2 linked regions of the Pelodiscus sinensis genome follow. The protein of the gene in region 1 purifies or fractionates together with the protein of each later gene. This does not show direct contact. Links are inferred from orthologs where the notes say so. Each region holds a gene or a part of one and is shown on either strand. Other genes may lie near its edges.

Region 1 (12,241 bases):
ATCAGAGGCTGCTGGTATGATTTTATTTTCCAAAACCCACTAGGCAGAAACCAATACAAAAATTGGTGAAGAATTCCATAGATAAGAATCCCAATGTCAGCCCCTCAAACAAAGAGTGGGTATGACGGCTGGAATTTTCAAAATGTTGCTGTTGAACTTCTCAAACTCCCCCATCATTTCTCATCTTTCCTATTGGTCTCTGACTAAATGCATAGAGTCGACAGAGTGGTTTTTTTACCCACAAAAGCTTACGCCCAAATAAATCTGTTAGGCTGTGTAAGTGCTGGCGTGTTCTTGCACGAAAACATGCCATCTGTCTACACTGACTGTGCGTTCTTGCGCAAGTAAACTGACGTTGTACTGTAGAAAATCAGGGCTTCTTGCACAAGAACTCTGACACTCTCTCTCAGGAAGAAGCCCTCTTGCACAAGAGCTCTTCCAGAAAAGGCCAGTGTAGACACGCAACATGAATTTATTGCGGAAGAAGCCCCTATGGTTAAAATTGCCGTCAGAGCTTTCTTGTGGAAGAAGCTGTCAGTGTAGACGTAGCCTTCGTCTTTATTATGCCACAGGATTCCTTTTTGCGGATACAGAGTTAAAAGGCTGCACCTCTGAGACATGCTAATTATGCTGACTATGAATAAGACACTATGCTAAAGTATACCTGTTCTCTTCAGAGGAAGACTGGTCAAAAGGGAAAAATGTGAAGCACAGTCAAAGAGACAAATACAAAATGATGGTTCAGTGAAAAAACTCTAAGCAATTAAGGAAGTCTAAAAGTGAAAGGCCCAATTTCAATGCAACCAGAATAATTTCTTTTAAAAGTACTGGCTCCCTCATCTAACTATACCTTTCCTACCACCACAAATAGCAGATGGATTATTTAAACAGAATAAATGGAATATATCCATCCAGAAAAATAATATAGGCTACATCTACACTGCAGGCATCTTGCGCAAGAACTGTTTTGCGCAAGAGTTCTTGTGCAAAAGGTCCACAAGCGTGCATCCACACTGCCATGGATGCTCTTGCACAAATGCACATCTCTTGCGCAAGAGCGTCCATGGCAGTATGGATGCTCTCTTGTGCAAGAAAGCTCTGATGGCCATTTTAGCCATAGGGGTTTCTTGCGCAAGAAAATCATGTTGCCTGTCTACACTGCCTTCTTGTGGAAGAGCTCTTGTGCAAGAGGACTTATTCCTCGTGGAGAGAGGAATAACTCTTCCGGAAGAAGCCCTATTTTCTGACGCTGTACTGTAAATTTACTTGCGCAAGAACACGCATGCAGTGTAGACACCCAGCAAGTTTCTGCGCAAGAAGAGCTGTTCTTCCGCAAAAAGCCTGCAGTGTAGACGTAGCCATAGTGTTTAGCCCTCTGAATTGGAATTATGGCGACGTGCACCCCTCTCAGAGAGGGAACATTAAGTAATTTAGTGTATTAAAATGTACAGAACAGTGAAATAGTATTTACTTTCCACTGTTCACACATTTTCCTTTTTTTCATTCTACATCAAGTATAAGGAATCCACACTGATCAGTTTCACAACTTTTTCTAGTCAATTTCACTGTTCTCATACACTAGCACTACAGAAGTGTAAATTAGACATAGAAAGCAGCTGATCAAATTGTGCCCCTATTTATAACCTGCACAAACAAGTGGATTTAACTGAAGGACCCTTGAACTCTCTTCCAAATCTAAAACCAGTTAACAAAATACGTATAAAAGCTTTTGGTGAATTCAACACTATTTGCTAACTAAAGAAAGATACCATTGTGATTAAGCACTAAGTGCTAATATGGATAAGTGAAGCTGAGTAGAAGCCCTGGTCTACACTTTACATTTAGACTGACATAACTACCTCACTCAGGGGTGTAAAATTCACTCCTTCAACTCCATATTTCAGGCAACACTAAGAACTCCAACTTAAGAATTCTTCTACTGACCTAGCTACTGCCACCCAGTGAGATGGAATACCTGCAATGATAGAAACACCCCTCCACAGATGAAGGAAACATCTATACTACAGTGTTAAAGCAGTACAGTTGCACCACTGCAGCCATACTTCTAAACTAAATGTGTGAAAGGTTAACCAGTAAGCATCAGCTTAAATGGGTAATGCTTACCGATTCCACTTACTAGTAACCGGTGGGGGCTGCAGTAGCTTCCCACCTGCTGCAGGTGACCACTGTGGACAGGGGCTGCTCTCGTCCCAGCCCCCGCGAGGGAGGGACCCCTTCAGGCGCCCAGCCCTACTTCCAGCAGGGGGAGGGGCGCGGAAGGGAGGGGCAGGGACCAGCAGCCATGTGGGCTGCTCAAGCCAAGCTGTAGCAGTCCTCAGCTCAGATCATGCTTAGTCATTAACCAGTTAAACATTAGGTCAACCTAACTTAACATTTAACTTGTTAACTGATTAACTGGAATTTTACATCCCTACTCCAAATTACAAATCCCTACTTCAATAATTACAAAATTAAGATTGTTTAAAGATACCTATGAAGGGACAATGCCAAATTAAGTCGCATCTAAAATACTATTACCAGCTCATGGTTACAGGTATACTTCGAAGTATACTATTGAGAACATTGTTTCACTTTAAATGTGCACTCAATGCTTCAGAAATAGTGATTTTTCTGGAGAATGCCCTCATGTGTTCTAAAGCACTGTTTCTCAATGATGGGTTGTAGGCCCAATACTGAGAAGCCACAGGTGGGCTTGAAAAGTGAGTGTATCCTGCTCTCACTTGCAGAAGCAGCTCCTGCCCCAACAGGCTGAGCCTGATTCCACATTCAAGCGTTGTGAGCTGACATGCAGGAGGCATCCCAATTTCACCCACACATCAGAACAGCTAGATAGCCAGGAATCCAGCATGCCAGGTCAACAACACGCAGGGCCTTGCCCAGTGAAACTAGAACCACTGCGGAAGCATGCATGTGAGGCAGGGTTGCTCACTAACTGCCTCTAGGGCAGGGCCTCCCCTCCGCATTAGGCTGGGATTAAGGATGAAATATCAGGGCAGCATCAGGTACTACCACAGGTAGTCAGTGCCCTGACAGCATGGCAGTTGATGATGGCACCAGCCTATGATTTTACTCCCATTGCAGATGGCTGATCCTGGCCAAACAGTGAGAGCTGCAATCATCAGTATCTGCAGCCATGTAGGCAAATATAGTGGTGGGAGCCCACCAGGAGCTAAACCTGGTAGACTGATATTTGCAGACCCCTCACCTAGAGGATTCCTGGAAGGGCTATAAAACCTCATTTAATATGTTAATCCATTTAGCTATATGTTTAACTGGTTATCCAGTCCACCATGTTGCACCACTGCCAGGCTTAAGCACCCCTTTCCCGTGGTGTGCTGTGGATGGGGTGGGGGGCTGCTCTAGCCAAGCACCAGTCAGCCAGTTACCCCTTTATATCCCTAGTTCCTGGCACCTGTAATATCCAGGACATTCTGAGGGAAAGAGATAGTGGCATGCAAGCAACCCTATACAAGCCTGGACTGAGGCATCCGGCTGTTTCTCCCTCTGGATCCCTGACCTCGAACTACGGGGGAACAGGGAGGAGGATGTAAATATCTGGGAAGGGGCTGTGGGTGTCTGGGAAACAACTGGGAAAGGGGGCAGAGAAACCCCTATGAAACAATTCATGATTGAATACTTGACACCTGGGGGAAGGAAAAGATAGTGTATGTATTGTTACAATCAGACATATTTGCTGGCATAGGCATCTGATGCCTGAGAGGGGAAGGGGTGCAGAAAGGAAGCACCCCATTTAACCATCAAAATTTTGGCAGAGGTATGGGGAGCAGGGCAGTGAACCTCTTGGGTGTTACCACAACTTTCCTATGCTTGGTGACAAGTATTTTGAAATTAAAAAAATACAAAAAATAATCAAAACTGGCATGATTATGTAGTGTTTTGACAAATACAATTTGCAAAATTTTATAGAACTTTAAAATATTTTGCTCTGAAATGTTCCCCGCCCCCCCCACGCGCACAGAATTTAATTTCTTGGCACAGAATGTCTCCAGGAGTAGTTAGACCCCACATTTCATCTCATTTGGAGCAGAATCCAGACAAAGGTGTTGCTACAGAACGGGGCAATGCAAAACAGCACTGCCAACCCGTGCGAGGGATCAGTCTCCTCATGTTTCGAGTGTCTCTTAACGCCCAGCTCCCGGAGTCACGTTAAAAGGGAATCTCAGTTACAGCGGGGATAGGCTTGCAAAGAGGAGGGGGGCTGTGATTCCGCCTTCCCCCGCCAGGGGGTGAAGTCCGAGGACCCAATGGTCCCTTCCGGCCCCAGAAGCCCCCCCGGGATAATGTGAGGGGGATAATCGCTCCCTCACGGGAGAATCACAGCGCCTGGCCCAGCCCGAGGCGGCTCCCCGGCCGGAGACGGGGGGAGAGGGGAGCTGCAGCGGGAGCGGGGGCGGGGACAGGGAGCCCCCCCGAGGAGCCAGACTTACTCCCAACAGGGGGCCTCTTCCCAGCACGGTCTGGCCGGGCGGCAGCGCCAGCGGGCAGCCCCCGTCCGCGGGCGCGAGCTCGAAGCCCGGCATGGGCCCCGCGGGCGGGACAGGGCGCGGCCCCCGCTGCCCCTTTGCACTTTTCTTGAGCCAGGTCGGGAGGCTTCTCGCCCTTCCGCTTCCCTCTGGGGCGGCCAGCTAGCGGGCGCGTCTGGCTACCGCCCTGTGCGTTCAGATCGCCGCCCCGCCCGGAAACGGTAGTTCCCAACTCTCCCCCGCGCCGCCCGGCCGCGCTTCAGCGTCCCCGCAGGCAAACTACAAGTCCCGGCGTGCCCCGCTGCGGCGCATGCGCGGGGTCCTGTTTACCTTGGGAAGGGTGGAAACAAGCCCGTTCGAATGGGGGAGACGTTAAAACCGGCAACGGCGGGCAACGGCGCGGGGCCAGGTAGGGGGCGGACTGCTCCACGCGCCTGGGCCGGGGGCTGCTGCGGGGAGCGCTGGCTCCAGCCACGCCCTGGGCTGGGGAGTTCCGCAGCAGGGCCCAGGCTGGCAGCGGACGCAGGGCACCGTCTAACGCGGGCGGGAGCCACCGGCCCACAGAAAAGCCGCCAGGGCCACCCACACGTGAGCAGCCAATAAAACGAGCCCCTCGCATCACACTCGGCCCCTGGGGGCGGGGGGCTTCCCCCATTCCCCACCCGCGTCTACTCCTCGCCCAGCTCATGGGGGCGGGGGCAGCCTAGCCTGGGCACAGGGCATCGCCCACGGCTCGAGTGATTGCCATGGAGCTGCCCATAGGCACCAGTGTTCAAATCCCCACCTCACCCAGCATCCCAGCAGTGGTCGTCTCCAGCTCTCCTCCATGCCCCCCCGGCTGGCTTCAGTGTCGCCAGATGGAAGCTACAAGTCCCAGAGTGCCCACAGGCGTGGGGCCTATTTTCTTTAGCAAGCCACTGCCCAATAGGCTGTGAACAAGCCCATTCGGGTCGCACCTAGGGGCAGCAACACAGGGCCAGGTAGGGTGCACAAGGCACTCTGTACTTGCTCCACACATTTCCCTATGTGCAGGGGCGGCCTATCCATATAGGCAAATCGCCTAGGGCGCCAAGTTAAATGGGGTACCAAATGGTGACACAATATCGTTGAGGGGTTTGGAGGTGGGGGCACCGATTTGCAAGGTTCGCCTAGGCCGCTCCTGCCTATGTAGAATATGGGACACCGGGGAGGGGGCTGCCAGTGCTCAGAGTTTCAGCCTCACTGTGTGGGTGCAGCCACCAACACTCAGTGCTTCAGCCCTGCAGCGGAGTGGGAAGGGGGGCTGCTGGCACTCAGAACTGCAACCTTGTAGGAGGGGGAGGGGAGGACCACCACCAGCATGCAGAGCTTCAGCCTTGTAGTGGGCGGGGGAGGGAGGAGCAACCACTTGCGCTAGGGGCTTCAGCCCCATAGCTGGGGGAAGCCACTGGCACTCAAGGCGTCAGTGTTGCAGGGGTGGGACAGAAGCCACCAGTGCTCAGGATTCCAGCAGCCAAAGCTCTGACTGCTGGTGGCTCCCCATCCACCCTGCCCCACTGCAGCGATGAAGTTCACCCCCACAACATGCAGAATGGGGAAGGAAGGGGAAGATACCAGGCCCTGAGTGCTGTCAGTTCCTTCTCCCACCCCCTGCAAGGGAAATTTGGGATAATGTGCCCACTTTTTTTTTTTCCTACAAAGTCAGGACTGAAGGAGGCGGCCTTAAATAAGGGACTGTCCCAGTAAAAACAGGACAGATTGTCACCCTATGCTTGCAGCACTTGAACATATATCCTTAAGCATTAGAGTTATCTTGATAAAAGTTAACTGCATGTATAATATAAGTGACCCCTGCACTTCTTCACCCCTAGGATTACTCATGGTGGATGTGTGGAGACCATAAATTATGCAGAAAACCTCAAAGAAGAACAAACAGGAAGGTACTTCATGTAAAGAACGGACCATCCTTCCATCATCCAAAAAGAAAGAAGAAAGTCAGGAGGACTTTGTGGAGCTGCTGCCTCCAGAAGTCACCTTGAAAATTTTCAATGAACTGGACGTTCAGAGCTTATGCAAAGCTGCAATGACTTGCAAGAGCTGGAATCGCACAATTGAGAACAGTGACCATTTGTGGAAACATCACTGTTTAACTGTAAGAGCTGTCTGTCAGCGAGAGATAGACTTTGATCGAGGAAATGGATATTCATGGAAGGTAAATTAAAGGCCATGGACTGTCTAGCTTTGGGAACCTGGATAGCTTTGGGAATCAGTATTAAGATGTAAGGTTCTCTCCTTATCAGTATTTCTGATCCATCCACAGTGAAGAGAAAAATTAAAGTTATCTAATACCTGAAGCTTGTGAGCTCTCAGGGCTTGTCTACATTACAAAATTAAGTTGACTTAAGTCAGTGTACAAGCCACCAGTGGTTCACATGCACACTTGCTCCTTTGGTTGGTGGTGCATATCCCCACCAGGAGTGCTTCACCAACTGAAGTGGTACATAATAGGACACAGCTGAAGCCCACCAGCCTATGGTAACACTGGCATGGCACTCATTGCTGGCCCACTGTCAGCAGGGTACAATGGCCTCAGCTACAAGCCAGCATCTACAGCTGACAAGTGTAGCTATCATCACCAGAAAAGAGGACTACAACTAACAGCTCCCACTGGGGTTGATGGCCAACCAGCTGTGTCAGTTAATCAGTGTCTTAACTGCATTAACAAAAGAACTATACCCCTCGTGGAGTTAGAGTTATGTTGGCATAGAAAGTGACTTATTTTGGCAGAAGCAGTATTCTAATGTAGACATTGACATAATTAGGTGAATGCAAGTCATCTTGCATCAACCTAAGTACCTAACCTTGTAATATTGACCAGGCCTTAGTGACAGTGTCACAACAACCATCACAAATGGCAGTCTCTGAAGCTCTGAAGAGATGGCAAAACAGTACCATAAAGAAAAATTAATTATCCTCTGTTCCCTGATAATAGATCAACCAGTTCTTGGATGGAACATATTGAGAAAGGAGGGCAGTTTTACACACCTGGTTAGAGCCTTGCAAATCTGAGAATATCTACTTTATATATGCAGGTATCAGCAACCATGGATCTGGATGCGGATATCCACAGCTCATTTTTGCAGATGCTGTTGTGGATTCAAATTTTGTATTTAGAAAACCCTGCAAGTTTGTATCTGTATCCATGGAAAATGGATGCCAGGGATGTAAAAGGTTAACCAGTTACCTGGTAAGCATTAGGCTTACTGAGTAACCGATTAACTGGACTGCCAACCCCTGCAGCACAGCAACAGGCTGGCCCCAGCCACGCTGCTAAATATGTTGAGTGAAATCCTATCAAGAAAAACAGTAGCAAATTCTCACAAGTGAGCTGTTAAATATAGGAAGGCTGAAATATAGAAAAGCTGAAAGATTGAAACACAGCTATCCAAAGATTCTGAGTAACAGCAAAAACATTTAAATACATCAAAAGCAGGAAGCCTGCTAAACAACCAATGGAGCCACTGGATATTCAAAATGCTAAAGGAGAGTTCAAAAATGATAAGGCCATTGCAGAAAAGCTAAATGAATTCTTTGCATAGGTCTTCACAGCTGATAAGTCACCAGGAGCATATGATATTCAGCCAACAGTTCAGAAGGAACTTAATTATGGAATAACAGAATTACTGTATTATGTAACCTAGGTTTTGTCTCCATTGCCAGCTTTGCTGGCAGAGGGTATGCAAATGAAGCACAGATTAGCCTTTTGTTGTGCTTCATTTGCATAATCTATTCAAGCTGTTTTTGTGCAAAAAAAACAAAACAAAAAAAACCCCAGTGTGGACGTTTCCTTTTTGCGCAAATACACCTTTTTGCACAAGATCCTTATGCCCTTCTGGGAGAGAGAGAAAATGATATCCCCAAAGGATCTGAACTGAGTCCAATACTGTTTGACGTATTTATAAATGATCTGGAGAAAGGGTGACCAAATTTGCTGACAATACAAAACTACTCAAGATACATCCAAAACAGACTGCAGAGAGCAACAATGGGATCTCACAAAATTGTGTGACTGGACAACAAAATGGCAGATTAATTCAATCGTAGAATCCTAGAACTGGAAAGTACCTCAAGAGGTCATCGAGTCCAGTCTCCTTGGTCACAGCAGGACCAAGCAGTGTCTAGATCATCCCTGATAGATGTCTATCCAACCTGCTCTTAAATATCTCCAGTGATGAAGATTCCACAAGCTCCCTAGGCAATTTATTCCAGTGTTTAACCACCCGACAGGATGTTTTTCCTAATGTCCAACCTAAACTAGGATGTGAAGGACTAGTCAACTATTATCGGATAGTCAACAGGATAGTCGATTAGTCGCTCTCTCCCCTCTCCCCCCCTTTATCTGATAGTGGCAGCAAGGGGGGAGGAAGAAAAAGGGGTTCTTCAAAGCAGCAGCGCCACGTGGAGTCCTGAATCAGCTGGGGACTCCCCTACTGACTCTGGGCTCTGTACGGTGCTGCTGCTTTGAAATGTTATGAAGAGCCTGGTGCCAGGTTTCTTATGGCATTTCAAAGCAGCAGCACTGTGTGGATCCTGGGGTCAGCAAACCCAGGGCTCCACATACCGCTTTTGCCTTTGAAGTGTAACAGCAGCCCTAGGGTTGTTGCTACTCTTAAAAAGCGGAAGTGCACTATCAACTAATTTAATAGTTGATGCAAAAATGCATTGTCTATTCAATTAGTCACCTGATACTTACCATCCTTAACCTAAACCTCCCTTGCTGCAATTTAAGTCCATTGCTTCTTGTCCCATCATCAGATGCCAAGGAGAATAATTTCTCCCTCTTCCTTGTAACACTTTTTTAGATACTTAAACTGCTATCATGTCCCCCCTCCATCTTATTTCTGAACTAAACAAGCCCAAGTCTTTCAATCTTCCCTCATAGGTCACGTTTTCTAGACCTTTAATCATTTTTGTTGCTCTTCTCTGAACCTTCTCCAATTTCTCCACATCTTTCCTGAAACTTGGTGACCAGTTCTATTCACAGTAATCCAGTTGGGGCCTAATCAGTGCAGAGTAGAGTGGAAGAATGACTTCTCATGTCTTGTTCACAACACTCCTGTTAAGGCATCCCAGAATCATATTTGCTTTTTTTGCAACCATGTCACACTGTTGTCATGTTTAACTTATGGTCCACTATGACCCCTAGATCCCTTTTTGCAGTACTCCTTCCTAGACAGTCACTTCCCATTCTGTACATGTGAAACTGATTGTTTTTCATCTAGCCCAGGGGCGAGCAAAGGGCCTCCGCAGGCTGGATCCGGCCCCGGAGGCCCTGCCACTGTCCCGCCCCCAAGCCAATTAGGGCCTGGGGACCATGCAAAATTTCCTCCATGCTGCCAGGAGCATACAGCACTTTGACATGCCACACGCTCCTGGCAGGATGGAAGGAGGCTTTGTGTGCTCCCCTGCCCCCAGGCTAATCAGAGCCTGTGAGGAACACGCAGCACTTAGAAGTGCCATGCATTCCTGGTAGGGTGGGAGGAGGCTTCAGGGCCTGGGGGAGAACACGAAGTCTCCTCCTGCCCTCCCAGGAGCATGTGACACTTTTAAGCCCTGTGCAGGGTGGGAACAGAGCAGAGAAACTTGGCACACACACCCAGTTCTGATTGGCCTGGGGGTAGGGGAACATGGGAAGTCTCCTCCCAACCAGGAGCATGGGTGTGCAGGGGAAAGGGGGGAGGCAGGTACGCAGGCAGGCAAGCAAGCAAGCAAAGGTGCTCCCCCCTCCCCAGACCAATCTTGGTCTGTGGGTGGAGAACCTGGAAGTATCCCAGCCCCCTTCCCCCCCCCCCCCCCTTGAGGCCAGGGGCCACTTCAGAAATGTTTGAAGTGGCCCTTGGCAAAAAGTTATTGCACATCCCTGCTCTAGCCCGTGCTTCAGGAGCAAATTGCAGTCTGTAATGGCCACTCATCATTGGGTGTGGACCTGCTGCCTTTTCCTATCCTGGCTGCCTTCCCCCCCCCCCCCCCCGCTTTCATACTCTCAGGCCTTGCCTCAGGTCCTGCAGCCTGGGAGTGAAGTCAGGCCAGAGCTCCTCAGCTCTGCCTGCCTTTCCCAGCACTGATATCTCCAAGAAGCCTTCTGCTTCCCAGGCAGCCAGGTCCCTCCTGCTCTGCAGCCAGAGCTATAGTAAGTCCTCTGTCCCTCAAGGAGCCCTTTATATAGCCCCAGCTGGGCCCTAATTAGCAATAACTGCCTCAGCCTGGACTTTGCTCTCAGCCCCCACTAAGGGCTGGGTTTTTGTCCTTAATGGGCCAGTACAGGGCAGACGCCCTGTGACACCATTCTTAAGTACTTATGACTGCTATAGCTTCATACTTAGCAGATCAGAGAAAGAATGATTCAGACATTGCAAGTACAACCCTGAACCAGCACAGGTTTGAAAGTAAGGAGGTTACAGCCACCTCATTTGGGGCCGTAGGTCTACCTCCATAGATCACTGAAACAGAAGCAAGCCATTTCGGATTTACTTCCTCTCAGAGGAAGGAGTGTTATAGAAGTTCACTATGAGGCAAGAACTCACAAGGAGGCAGGCAGGCATGTGAGCAGATGGAGAGGTCTGAAGAGTGGACACACTGAAATCCAAATATTTCACACCTTTGTGACACCTGACTTCATTAAGCAAACATCACAAATCCTAGTCCAGGCAGTCTCTAGTTATATGGCTATTTCCAAGTCTTCCCAGATTCCTCTCTTAGGGCATGTCTACACAGAGGTCTAAACCCAAAATAAGCTACACTATTGGAGCTATGTCAATTGCGTGGCTTAAGTCAAAATAGCTTATTTCGGCTTTTGGCGCTGTAAACACAGCAGGAAGTAGAAAGAGCACTCTTCCTCTGATTTGCCTTACTTCTCATACAATGCAGGTTACAGGAGTTGGAGTAAGATGTCCTCCAGCTCAACATTATTCCAACATTATGTCGAAATAACTGCTTGCTGTGTAGACACAGACTATGTTATTTCAGAATAACTGATGTTAGTTATTAACGAAATAACACTGCTGTGTAGACTTCCGTTTATCCAGGGTTGAGGTCACAAGCTACATGTGTCAAAAACTCAACACCTTAGTATCTCCCTACATGAGCTGGAACTCAGCCACCCTGTTACAAGGGTACCTGACAGTTATTTTGGTGCTCTCAGGATAAAGAAAAAAATAGCAAGATTTTAAAAGTTTTCCTTTAAGGTGGGTATTTAGCCTGAGAGTGGGGATGAGAGGCAGAAGATTTGAGAAGTAAGAATAGTCCTCATGTTACACTGAAAAATGTGAAAACGAAGCTCTGGGCCACACTGAAAAATGTGAAAATGAAGCTCTGGGCCACTAGAGGGCATTTGTACACCTGTATACTGCACTGAGGTCCCAGACACCCAAGTGTGTTGTAATATACAGGCAGTCCCCGGGTTACGTACAAGATAGGGACTGTAGGTTTGTTCTTAAGTTGAATTTGTATGTAAGTCGGAACTGGTACATATTGTAGGGGATACTCTAGCCAAACATTTCTCCAGAGCTCAGTTTTATTCTCCCACACCTCACTTCCCTCAGTCCTTTATTCTCAAGCTGAGGTGTCTGCTGTGAAAAGCCGCTCTGCGTCTCCCTGGCCTGCTGGGGGAGGGGGCGCTAGCTTCGCGTCTCCCTGGTCTGCTGGGGGGAAGCAGCTAGTGCGGGGTTGCCTCAACCCATTTGTAAGTAGGGATCCGA
Region 2 (11,755 bases), on another chromosome or scaffold:
CACCCTTTCTCTTCCCCTCTCCCACCTCCTTTCCCCAGTCTCCCCCAGTTTTGTTCAATAAAGAGAGATTCTATTTTTGAACACAATTGTCCTTTATTTTGTACATCAGGAAGGGCGGCTAGGGAGGGCTAAGTGGAAGGAGGTGAGGGAGGAATGGGGTACGAGCCCCCGATGGGGAGGACTGGGCTGGCTCTGTAGGCTTCTGGGGGTGGAACCTCTCCTGCAGCCCCCCAATTGCCCCCTCTCCCCAGATGGCAGCCTGCGGCAAGTGCAGCCGGTCTGATGGCCGAGTGCTGTGATGTGCCCAGTGTGGGTACTCCGGGCAATCCAAGCCAGGACTGCTTTGCAAGCGGGGCACCCCTTGAGAACTGTCTGTCCGGGGTGGGGGTCGGGTCCCTTTAAGCACAGCCCTCGGCTAGCCTGAGACAGCAGCTCCACGTTCTAAGTCCTCATCTGATGCCCTGCCAGCACTGCTTCCGGACATCCTTAACCTCAGTTCAGGGTCCACTCTGTGTGGACATGCTAGTTCGAATTAGCAAAATGCTAATTCGAACTAGTTTTTTAGTCTGGATGCGTTAGTTCAAATTAGCTTAGTTCGAACTAAGTTAGTTCGAATTAGTGCTGTAGTGTAGACATACCCAAAAAGATTTTAAGGTAGGAGACCGGATCGGCTTACCTGGGAAATCCTTGGTGAACTTAAGCACAAAAAGGAAGCTTACAAAAAGTGGAAACTTGGACAAATGACCAGGGAGGAGTTTAAATGTATAGCTCGAGAATGCCGGGGGGTTATCAGGAAGGCGAAAGCACAAATGGAATTGCAACTGGCTAAGGATGTGAAGGATAACAAGAAAGGTTTCTACAGGCATGTTAACAAGAAGAAGGTGATCAGAGAGGGTTTGCAGCCCCTAATGGATGAAGGAGGTAACCTAGTGATAGATAATGTGGGGAAAGCTGAAGTACTCAATGCTTTCTTTGCCTCTGTATTCACGGACAAGGTCTGCTCCCAGACTAATGCGCTAAGTGACGCAAGATGGGATGAAGATGGACAGCCTTTGGTGGGTAAAGAACAGGTTAGGAACTATTTAGAAAAGCTAAACGTACACAAATCCATGGGTCCGGACTTAATGCATCCGAGGGTACTAAGGGAGTTGGCAAATGTCATTGAGGAGCCTTTGGCCATTATCTTTGAAAAGTTGTGGAGATTGGGAGAAATCCCGGACGATTGAAAAAAAGGCAAATGTAGTGCCCATCTTCAAAAAAGGGAAGAAGGACGATTCAGGGAACTATAGGCCAGTCAGTCTTACCTCGGTTCCTGGAAAAATCATGGAAGGGATCCTTAAGGAATCCATTTTGAGGCACTTGGAAGAGAGGAAAGTGATCAGGAATAGTCAGCATGGATTCACAAAGGGAAAGTCGTGTCTGACCAATCTGATTAGCTTCTATGATGAGGTAACTGGCTCTGTGGCCGTGGGAAAGTCAGTGGATGTTATATACCTTGACTTTAGCAAGGCTTTTGATACGGTCTCCCACAATATTCTTCCCAGCAAGTTAAGGGAATGTGGATTGGATAAATGGACAGTAAGATGGCTAGAAGAAAGATGGCTAGAAGGCCGGGCCCAGCAGGTAGTGATCAATGGCTCGATGTCAGGATGGCGGTCGGTTTCTAGCGGAGTGCCCCAAGGTTCAGTTCTAGGACCGGTTTTGTTCAATATCTTTATTAATTACCTGGATGAGGGGATGGATTGCACCCTCAGCAAGTTTGAGGATGACACTAAGCTACGGGGAGAAGTAGATACGTTTGAGAGCAGAAATAGGGTCCAGAGTGACTTAGACAAATTGGAGGTTTGGGCCACAAGAAATCTGATGAGGTTCAACAAGGACAAATGCAGAGTCCTGCACTTGGGATGGAAGAATCCCAAGCATAGTTACAAGCTGGGGACCAACCAGTTAAGTAGTAGTTCTGCAGAAGAGGACTTTGGGGTTACAGTGGATGAGATGCTGGATATGAGTCAACAGTGTGCCCTTGTAGCCAAGTTCTGGCCCCCCACTACAAAAAGGATGTGGACGCATTGGAGAAGGTCCAGCGGAGGGCAACCAAAATGATTAGAGGGCTGGAGCATATGACTTATGAGGAGAGGCTGAGGGAGTTGGGTCTGTTTAGTCTACAGAAGCGAAGAGTGAGGGGGGATTTGATAGCAGCCTTCAACTTCCTGAAGGGAGGTTTCAAAGAGGCTGGAGAAAGGCTGTTCACAGTAGTGACAGATGGCAGAACAAGGAGCAATGGTCTCAAGTTGTGGTGGGAAAGGTCCAGGTTGGATATTAGGAAAAACTATTTCACTAGGAAGGTAGTAAAGCACTGGAATGGGTTACCTAGGGAAGTAGTGGAGTCTCCATCCCTAGAGGTGTTTAAGTCTCAGCTTGACAAAGCCCTGGCAGGGTTAATTTAGTTGGGATTGGTCCTGCCTAGAGCAGGGGGCTGGACTCGATGGCCTCCTGAGGTCTCTTCCAGCTCTATGGCTCTATGATTCTATGATAAGGTCATGGTTGATAATCAGCTGAACATGAGCTCCCAGTTTGATGCTGTAGCCAAAAGAGCTAATGAGATTCTGGGATGCATACATAGGGGCATCTCAAGAAAGAAGGGAGAGGTTATTTCAACCTCTGTATTTGGCACTGGTGCTGCAAAACCATGCCCGGTGCCGGTGCCCACAATTCAAGATGAAAGTTGATAAATTGGAGAGGGCTGGGTTTAGAGAAAAGCCACAAGAGCGATTAAAGGTTTAGAAAATCTGCTTTATGCTGATAGACTCAAAGAGCTGAATCTGTTTAGCTTAACAAAGAAACGGCTGAAGTGTGACTTGATCACAGTCTGTAAGTACCTATGTGGGGAATATAGATTTGATAATGGGGCTTTTCAGTCTAGTAGAGAAAGGTCTAATATGAACCAGTGGCTGGAGGCTGAAGGTAGACAAAATCAGATATGAAATAAGGCATTTTTTTCCCAGTAAGAATAATTAGCTGTTAGAACAATTTACCAAGTATCATGGTAGAGTCTCATTACTGACCCTTTTTTTAAATCAGGATTCTATAGGATTTGCTCTGGGAATTATTTTGGGGCAAGTCTTTGGCCTGTACTAGGAGACCAGACTCAATGATCACAATGGACTGCTCTGGGCTGGAATCTATGTGTAGTCACCTTACTAAAGGTGCTTCTGCTTATTTTCTGGGAAGACCCTGTGTGTGGCAATCTAACCTCACAGACTACAATTCCCATGAGCCCTGGGGAAAAACAGGAAGGAAGGACTCTTGATGGGGAGAGCTGAGTCTCTCCATGTGTGTGGAGAAAGACTCAGCAGTCTGTGGACTCCCTGGCTGTGTCTACATTAGCATCCCTTTTCCGGAAAAGGGTGCCAATGAGACAAGTCGGAATTGCAAATGCCGCAGGGGATTTAAATATCCCCTGCAGCATTTGCATGAACATGGCTGCCGCTTTTTTCCGGCTCGGGGCTTTGCCAGAGAAAAGCGCCAGTCTAGACGGGATCTTTCGGAAAATAAAGCGTTTTCTGGAAGATCCCTTATTCCTCTTAAAATCAGGAATAAGGGATCTTCCAGAAAAGGCTTTATTTTCCGAAAGATCTCGTCTAGACTGGCGCTTTTTTCTGGCAAAGCCCCGAGCCAGAAAAAAGCGGCAGCCATGTTCATGCAAATGCCGCGGGGGATATTTAAATCCCCCGCGGCATTTGCAATGCCGACTTGTCTCATTGGCACCCTTTTCCGGAAAAGGGATGCTAATGTAGGCACAGCCCCTCTGTTTTTGGACCAGAAAGGGAGCCAGGGAGTTTGATACAGTTCAGGAGCTGTTATGTTGCAGTTACAGACTGGGACAGCAAGCCTTTGGAACTGGGATCTAGCAGGCTGCTTTTGATTGCCCAAGAGAGGAGGTCCTTTGGCTGTACTTGTGTCTAGCAGCTACTCTGCATCCAGCACATAAAAGGAGACTGTGAGTAACTGGGCATCTTTGGGAAAATGCTGCCTGGGACAGACCTCAGAGATTCAGACTAACTCTGGGTTCAAAGAGAAGGAGAGAGGCCAACCCAGTGAACCAGAGCTGCGGCATAGTTTGGACCCACATACACACTACCTACAGAGAATCTCCATTATAGCTGCAGTTCTTCAAGCGCGCCCATGCAAGCAAGAATTTGGGACTCTGAGTCCAGGGGTGTGCACACTGGGGTGGGATAAATATTGGTAGCTAGATAAGTTCATTTTACTTTTGTGTACTTTGTTAATTAATGTTATTCACTGTTAATTTGTTAAATCCTGTTTCTTTAAGTTAAGTAAAGGTTGTTCATTCTAATGCAATCTATTAGATGTATATTATTTATGATTTGTAATTGTTGTTCGGGAGTTAGATCCAGTTTATTGCTGGAATAAGTTTATTCCTAGAGGCTTCCAAGGCACACCCGTGTGTACAGGGCCAGCCAGGTGGAGGCACCACCATTGTACATTCTTTATGAGCAAGGGACAGCAGCAAGGGGGTGGAGAGGTTTTCCCCAACCAAACAACATCACCACTGGGGTACTCAGGATCTCCTTTTATGTCAAGCCCATCAGGCCCTGTGCTGTGACCTGCTCCCAAGTATCCCAGGGAGGAAAAAGGGGTTACATATGAATGAGGGACTAGGGCTTCTGGTGAAGAGGGGGAGGTTTCATGCTATAAGGAAGATGGGGTCTGTGCTGAGGGGCCAGGTGTATGATGCTGAGGGGGGGTCTCTATGGGGGCAGGGTCTGTGCTGAGGGGGGGGTCTCTATGGGGGCAGGGTCTGTGGTGAGGGGCCAGGTGTATGATGCTGAGGGGGGGTCTCTATGGGGGCAGGGTCTGTGGTGAGGGGCCAGGTGTATGATGCTGAGGGGGGGGTCTCTATGGGGGCAGGGTCTGTGGTGAGGGGCCAGGTGTATGATGCTGAGGGGGGGTCTCTATGGGGGCAGGGTCTGGGGGCAGGGTCTGTGGTGAGGGAGGGGTTTGCTGTGAGGGGCAGGGTCTGTGGTGAGGGAGGGGTTTGCTGTGAGGGGCAGGGACTGTGCTGAGGGGAGGGGTTTGCTGTGAGGGGCAGGGTCTGTGCTGAGGGGAGGGGTTTGCTGTGAGGGGCAGGGACTGTGCTGAGGGGAGGGGTTTGCTGTGAGGGGCAGGGTCTGTGCTGAGGGGAGGGGTTTGCTGTGAGGGGCAGGGACTGTGCTGAGGGGAGGGGTTTGCTGTGAGGGGCAGGGTCTGTGCTGAGGGGAGGGGTTTGCTGTGAGGGGCAGTGTCTGTGCTGAGGGGAGGGGTTTGCTGTGAGGGGCAGGGTCTGTGCTGAGGGGAGGGGTTTGCTGTGAGGGGCAGGGTCTGTGCTGAGGGGAGGGGTTTGCTGTGAGGGGCAGGGACTGTGCTGAGGGGAGGGGTTTGCTGTGAGGGGCAGGGTCTGTGCTGAGGGAGGGGTTTGCTGTGAGGGGCAGGGTCTGTGCTGAGGGGAGGGGTTTGCTGTGAGGGGCAGGGTCTGTGCTGAGGGGATGAGGTTACTTTCAAGGGAGGGGTTGTGAAGAGATGGGGGGTTGCCTGGAGGAGGCAGGGTCACTAGAGATGGGCGTGGTTGTTGTCAGGGTGACTAGGTGAGGGGCAGGGCTTGTTGGGAGGGGGTGGGCGTTGTTGTTAGGGGCGGGGCTTGTGGTGAGGGGAACGAGGTTAGCCTGGGTCTGTGGTGACAGGCGGGGCTCGTGAGGGGCGGGGTTTTCTCAGCGGGGTCTCTGGGAAGGCAGTTGCTGAGGGGCGGGGTCTCTGTTCCGTGCGAGGCGCGGCCCACCACGCTACGGGGCCCGAGGGGCGGGGCCCTGCTACCGGCCCAGCCGCCGTGGCTCACGAGCCCGTGCGCATGCGCCATATCCTAGGCCCCGCCCCGGCCGCGAGTCCCGGATTTAAAGGGGACGCGGCGCACGCGGCTTTGGCCTAGGCCGGTCGCTCTCCGAGCCCGCAGCGAGGACTCCCTTCCTTGCCCAGCCCTGCCCCCTCCCGCTGGCACAGCCGCGAGGCTCTGAGGGGCGCCCCCGGCCCGCCCCGCCCCTCCCCCGCGGTGTAACGCGGCTCTGAGGGCTCCGCGCTGGGCCTTGTCCCCGAGGGCCGCGCGCCGCATGCCCGCTGCCCTCCAGCGCCTCCTCCCGCCGGCCGCCCGGGCGCTGAGCCGACGGGCCGGGCTCTGCCTGCGCGCGGGCAGCGCGCTCCTGGGTCAGCCCCTTCCCGCCAGCCGCCACCGGGCTCTTCCCTCAGCCGCGCCCCTCTGGCCCCGCCGGCTCTGCGCGGCCCCCGCGGTCATGGCGGAGCAGAGGTTCTGCGTGGACTACGCCAAGCGCGGCACCGCCGGCTGCAGGAAGTGCAAGGAGAAGCTCCTGAAGGGCATGGTGCGCATCGGCAAGGTGGTGCCCAACCCCTTCTCGGAGTCGGGGGGCGACATGAAGGAGTGGTACCACGTCAAGTGCGTCTTCGAGAAACTAGAGCGGGCTCGGGCCACGACGAAGAAGATTGAGGACATCACGGACTTGGAGGGCTGGGAAATGCTCCAAGATGAAGAGAAACAGATGATAAGCCAGCACATCGCAGGTGAGACACTAGAGGGAGACCCACTGTGCCTTGCACCTTTATCAGCTGTAACAGTAGGAAATGTGGCGTCAGTGATTTCTACTCCATAGAGGCATTGCACACAGGGCATTGCAGTGGTTTGTGATGAGTGCAGTTGTCTTTTTCTCTGCATCCCAAAAACTGCTATGAGTCTTTCCCAGGCTATGTCTAGACTGCCAGCCTCTTTCGAAAGAGGCTTTTTCGGAAGTATCTTTCTAAAAAAACCTCTTTCGAAAAAGAGCGTCTAGACTGCAGCCAGTCCTTTCGAAAAAGCAAGCTGCTTTTTCGAAAGAAAGCACCCAGGCAGTCTGGATGCTCTCTTTCAAAAACGCCCTGTTTGCATTCAAGAACGCCTTTTTTCGAAAGAGCTCTTTCGAAAAAAGGCATTCTTCTTCGTGAAATTAGGTTTACCGCCGTCTAAAGAAAAGCCGCGTTCTTTCGATTTAATTTCGAAAGAACGCAGCTGTAGTCTGGACACAGCCCCAGTGAGTTGAGAGAACTTGTCTGTCCTTGAATGCAATGGGAAGGAACTGTAAGAAGGCATTGCAGGACTATCGGCATGCACATGATTTATTATTGTCGCTTCATGGAACAGCAAAGAATAGAGAGTCCCTGCCTGAAGTAGCTTAGCCTGCATCCTTACTGAAAACTAGGTGGAGGAATAGCTCAGTGGTTTGAGTATTGTGAGTTCACTACTTGAGGGGGCCATTTAGGGATCTGGGATAAATCTGTCAGGGATGGTACTTGGTCCTGCTGCGAAAGCAGGGGATTGGACTTGATGACCTCTCAGGTGTGTATCAGAGAACCCCTGACAAAAAATTATTGCCCACCCTTGGGCTAGATCCTGGGTGCTACTTTCACTCCCACTGGTAAAATATTTAAAATCTCCATACATTTTAAATATTTTACCAGCGGGAGTGAAAGTAGCACCCAGGATCTAGCCCAAGGGTGGGCAATAATTTTTTGTCAGGGGTTCTCTGATACACACCTGAGAGGTCATCATCAGAGAACCCCTGACAAAAAATTATTGCCCACCCTTGGGCTAGATCCTGGGTGCTACTTTCACTCCCGCTGGTAAAATATTTAAAATGTATGGAGATTTTAAATATTTTACCAGCGGGAGTGAAAGTAGCACCCAGGATCTAGCCCAAGGGTGGGCAATAATTTTTTTGTCAGGAGCCACTTCAGAAATGTCACACAGGAAGGGATGGGGCCAAGATACTTCCAAGTTCCCTGCCCCCAGACAATGATTGGTCTGGGGGTGAGGAACTGCCTTTGCTACCCCACATTGCCCCTAGGTAGCTCATGCCCCTGGCATGGGAGGAGACTTCCCACGTTCCCCTGCCCCTAGGCCTAATAGAGCCTGGGGGTGGGAGAGTACATGAAGCCTCCTCCGCTCTGCCCCCATCTTGCTTCAAAGCACCATTTGCTCCTGGCATGACAGGAGGAGGCTTTGCATGCTCCCCAGGCCCTCATTGGCCTGGGGACAGGAGAGCAGCAGGGCCTCCATCGGCCAGATCTGGCCTAAGGAGGCCCTTTTGCCCACCCCTGGTCTAGCCTATCCCCTCAGCTGGGCTAACTAAACCCAGGCTTAAAATAAGATCATGAGAGTGTTTTATGTGCAGATGGGAGGGGGCTAGAGGCAACATCTAAACCAATGCCTGAGTGAACTCTGCAATTAAGACATGCTCTCAGAATGCAAGCACTGGAAGGCTGGAGGGAGGAAGCCCTACTCTCTAATGAAACTTAAATACCAACAACGGTTCTGTGGCACCTTGGAGACTAACAAATATATAAATAGTATCGTGAACTTTCATGGGCACGACCCACTTCTTCAGGTGACATATCATGGAGCAAAGGGCATAGATTTTGAAATATAAAGCCGAAAAAGAGGGAAGAAATGGAGGTGAGAGGAAAAAACCCTATCAATTAGTGTCAAGGCTAATGGAGTAGGCTGTAAGTGCAAGTCACTAGGAGCCCTGGTCAGCTCTATTTTGCTGTTTGAGCTGGGGCTCATTACTGAGCTCCTAGTAGACATTTTACAAATAAAACTACCTATCCCCTCTCTCCGTGTGTTGGCTATTTGTAAGTTCTGACAAAAGTTGCTTATTTCAAAGTATTGTAAGTTACTTACCTGATTTTGTTGTTGAGGGTTTACAGGTTGTCTTAGATCACTTATGCAGATGCTTTACCTCTTACTGTGTTCCACAGAGGCTACTTCCAAGGCTGCAAACACACCTAAGAAAAAAGCAACAGTCCAAGCCAAGCTCTCCCCCAGTGGGCAGATAACCACTCCCAAGAAGGAGCTACCAGCTGCCCCCAATCCATCACCAAAGAAATTCTCTGGCTTCACAGGTGAGATATATTACACTGATGCTAGGGGAGCCCCCGTTCTTATAATAGCATCAGTGGAGTTTGAGTCAAACCTCAGGGTTGTGTCTAGACTGGCATGATTTTGCGCAAAAACTTTTAATGGAAAAGTTTTTCCATTAAAAGTATTTGCGCAAGAGAGCGTCTATTCTGGCATGTGCCTTTGTGCAAAAGATTTGCTTTTGCACAAAAGCATCCGTGCTAGTGTAGATGCTCTCTTGCGCAAAAAAGTTCCAATGGCCATTTTAGCCATCGGGCTTTCTTGCGCAAGAAATTAACGTTGCTGTCTACACTGGCCCTCTTGCGCAAGAATACTTGCACAAGAGGGCTTATCCCTGAGCAGGAGCATCAGAGTATTTGCACAAGAATCACTGATTTTGTACATTACAAAGTCAGTGTTCTTGCGCAAATACTCGCGGCCAGTGCAGACAGGCGGCAAGATTTTTGCGCAACAGCAGTCGCTTTTGCGCAAAATCATACCAGTCTAGACGCAGCCCAGTGGTTTATATTAAGTGAATAAGAAATGATTGTGCTAACAAAACGTGATATTTTGTTTTACTATCTGTAGAAAAAATGTTCAGTGTTTTCTAAGCTGTCAGTCATAAAATAACTGATATTTGCATTCTTTTGGTGATGTGTACAAAAGGGATAAAGCCTACCAAATCTTCTGCCCAGAAAAAATAAGGGGACTGCAGAATTGTATTTGAGTCTAGATCAGTGGTTTTCAGTCTTTTTGCATTTGCAAAAATACCTACCTCCCACCCTTTGAAAATCTTACACATAGTCTGTGGATTCCCAGGGACCTGTGGGCCACATATTGAAAACCACTGGTCTAGACTGAATGTTGACTTCAGTTATCTGGAATCAGCAAGGACCTGCTCATTTCTACATCAGTGGAAAAGCTCTGATTGACCTGATGGGGAGCAGAATCTGGACTCAGTAATATGCATAAACAATGACAATACTTTGAAACCTGTAACTGAAGTGGAAAGCTTTTTTTTTAGTGACTTACCTTGGCTACATGGCTGGTTCTTTGAAAGACCTTTGAGATTTGGAAAACTGCACCTTTTTCTACATAAAGAGAGGCTGAAATAAACCAAGTAACACATCTGGAATTTTTTTGTAATATTTTGTGGCACTTGTTAAAGTAAAATAATGTTTCCTGAAAACTGCAGAAATGCACTATTGTAACTGGACAGCTAAATCTTTTTTAGATATGTGAAATAATACAAGATTGTGGGCACAGCCCTTCTGTGCCTTGGTACCACTGGGGAAAAAAACTTCATTTCTAAATGGAAATTCAGTAAATGTTTTACTATATCAGACAAACTCTGATTTTTGTAGGTTACTTCATTGTGCTCAGAATTGTGTGGCAGAAACTAGAGATGGAAAGACTATTACTTCACCCAGTCACTGTAGGATTCTGTCCTATGCTATTTTCTAATTTAGTCCTAAGCAATTGAGCTTCCATCTTTCTCTTAGGTGAGGGAAGGGAAACCATAAAGTTGGCAAGTAGAGAAATAAATTTCTCATGGTTTTCAGAATAGAACTGTCTGAAGCTGTGCAGGTATCTCAGTCCCTCCCAAGTGGGATCCTATTAACTGAAAGCTTCTGCAATGAGTTGAGCATTTCCAGCTTAGTTCCTGAATCTTGTGCAGGAAAGAAGCGTGGATGTGATGGGTTTAGTTCATTGTTAATAGTTACATTAGTGCTAAAAGTATTGATCCTCTTGTCACTACAACATCAAGATAAACAGGCTCACTGGTTACACAGAGTAATTACATTATTACCTAGTTTATCTGTTTGCAGTTGGATTGTCCCCTTAACTTCATCTCTTGCTTAGTGACGATCCCTGTTAATCCAAATTCCAAGTCCTCTGATTTATTTGGATCAGCTGATCATATTATACCTCAGGTGTCCAGATTGGGGTTGTGGCTCATGGGATGGGTTCCATCTTGGTACCTGCCTCTGGAAGCTGAGTGGGAAGAAATGAAAACTGGTTAGGAAGGATTGTAAGGGAGCCTGCAGCTTTGTCCAGCATTTTCCTTCCACTGTTGGTTGCCTTTTGCTGTGAGGCTGTGTCTACATTGGCACCCCTTTCCAGAAAAGGGATGCTAATGTAGACTTTGGAATAGGCAAATCCGCGGGGGATTTAAATATCCCCCGCGGCATTTGCATTAACATGGCTGCCGCTTTTTTCCGGCTTGGGGAAAAGCCAAAGAAAAGCACCAGTCTAGACGTGATTCTCTGGAAAATAAAGCCTTTTCCGGAGGATTTCTTATTCCTACTTTCAAATCCTCCGGAAAAGGCTTTATTTTCCGGAGAATCACGTCTAGACTGGCGCTTTTCTCCAGCTTTTCCCCAAGCTGGAAAAAAGCAGCAGCCATGTTAATGCAAATGCCGCGGGGGAATATTTAAATCCCCCGTGGATTTGCCTATTCCAAAGTGCTACATTAGCATCCCTTTTCTGGAAGGGATGCCAGTGTAGGCACAGCCTACACTATTCGGGAAACCTGGTGCTAGAATGGAGAATTGCCTATACATTGAGAATCAAATGAAAGGATCAATCAGCATGGTAATTTTTCACTGACATTTTAACTTTATTTCATGAACTCCAGAAAACTCTCATGTGCTCCGAGTGCAAGTCCATACTGAAGTAGTTTAATTTTTTGTGATGAATGTCCACTCTGATTTGTAATCCTGGTTTTTCCAAATCTCATTGTTTCATTGCTTACATCTG

The links.
Region 2: the proteins of APLF (region 1) and LIG3 purify together in Homo sapiens (affinity purification with mass spectrometry; 3 studies listed by BioGRID and IntAct, counting the BioPlex papers as one, with this or other methods). This does not show direct contact. The link is inferred for Pelodiscus sinensis from reciprocal best matches to the Homo sapiens genes APLF and LIG3.

The regions. Positions count from the first base shown.
Region 1 is NC_134713.1:181,606,553-181,618,793, forward strand, and holds the start of APLF (aprataxin and PNK-like factor), read right to left. Parts: upstream 4,710-12,241; 5' UTR 4,563-4,709; coding exon 4,470-4,562; intron 1-4,469. Other genes in the region: FBXO48 (F-box only protein 48), read left to right, coding at 6,391-6,696. UniProt on the Homo sapiens protein: Histone chaperone involved in single-strand and double-strand DNA break repair.
Region 2 is NC_134731.1:17,265,163-17,276,917, reverse strand, and holds the start of LIG3 (DNA ligase 3), read left to right. Parts: upstream 1-5,839; 5' UTR 5,840-6,161; coding exon 6,162-6,627; intron 6,628-8,856; coding exon 8,857-9,000; intron 9,001-11,755. UniProt on the Homo sapiens protein: Isoform 3 functions as a heterodimer with DNA-repair protein XRCC1 in the nucleus and can correct defective DNA strand-break repair and sister chromatid exchange following treatment with ionizing radiation and alkylating agents.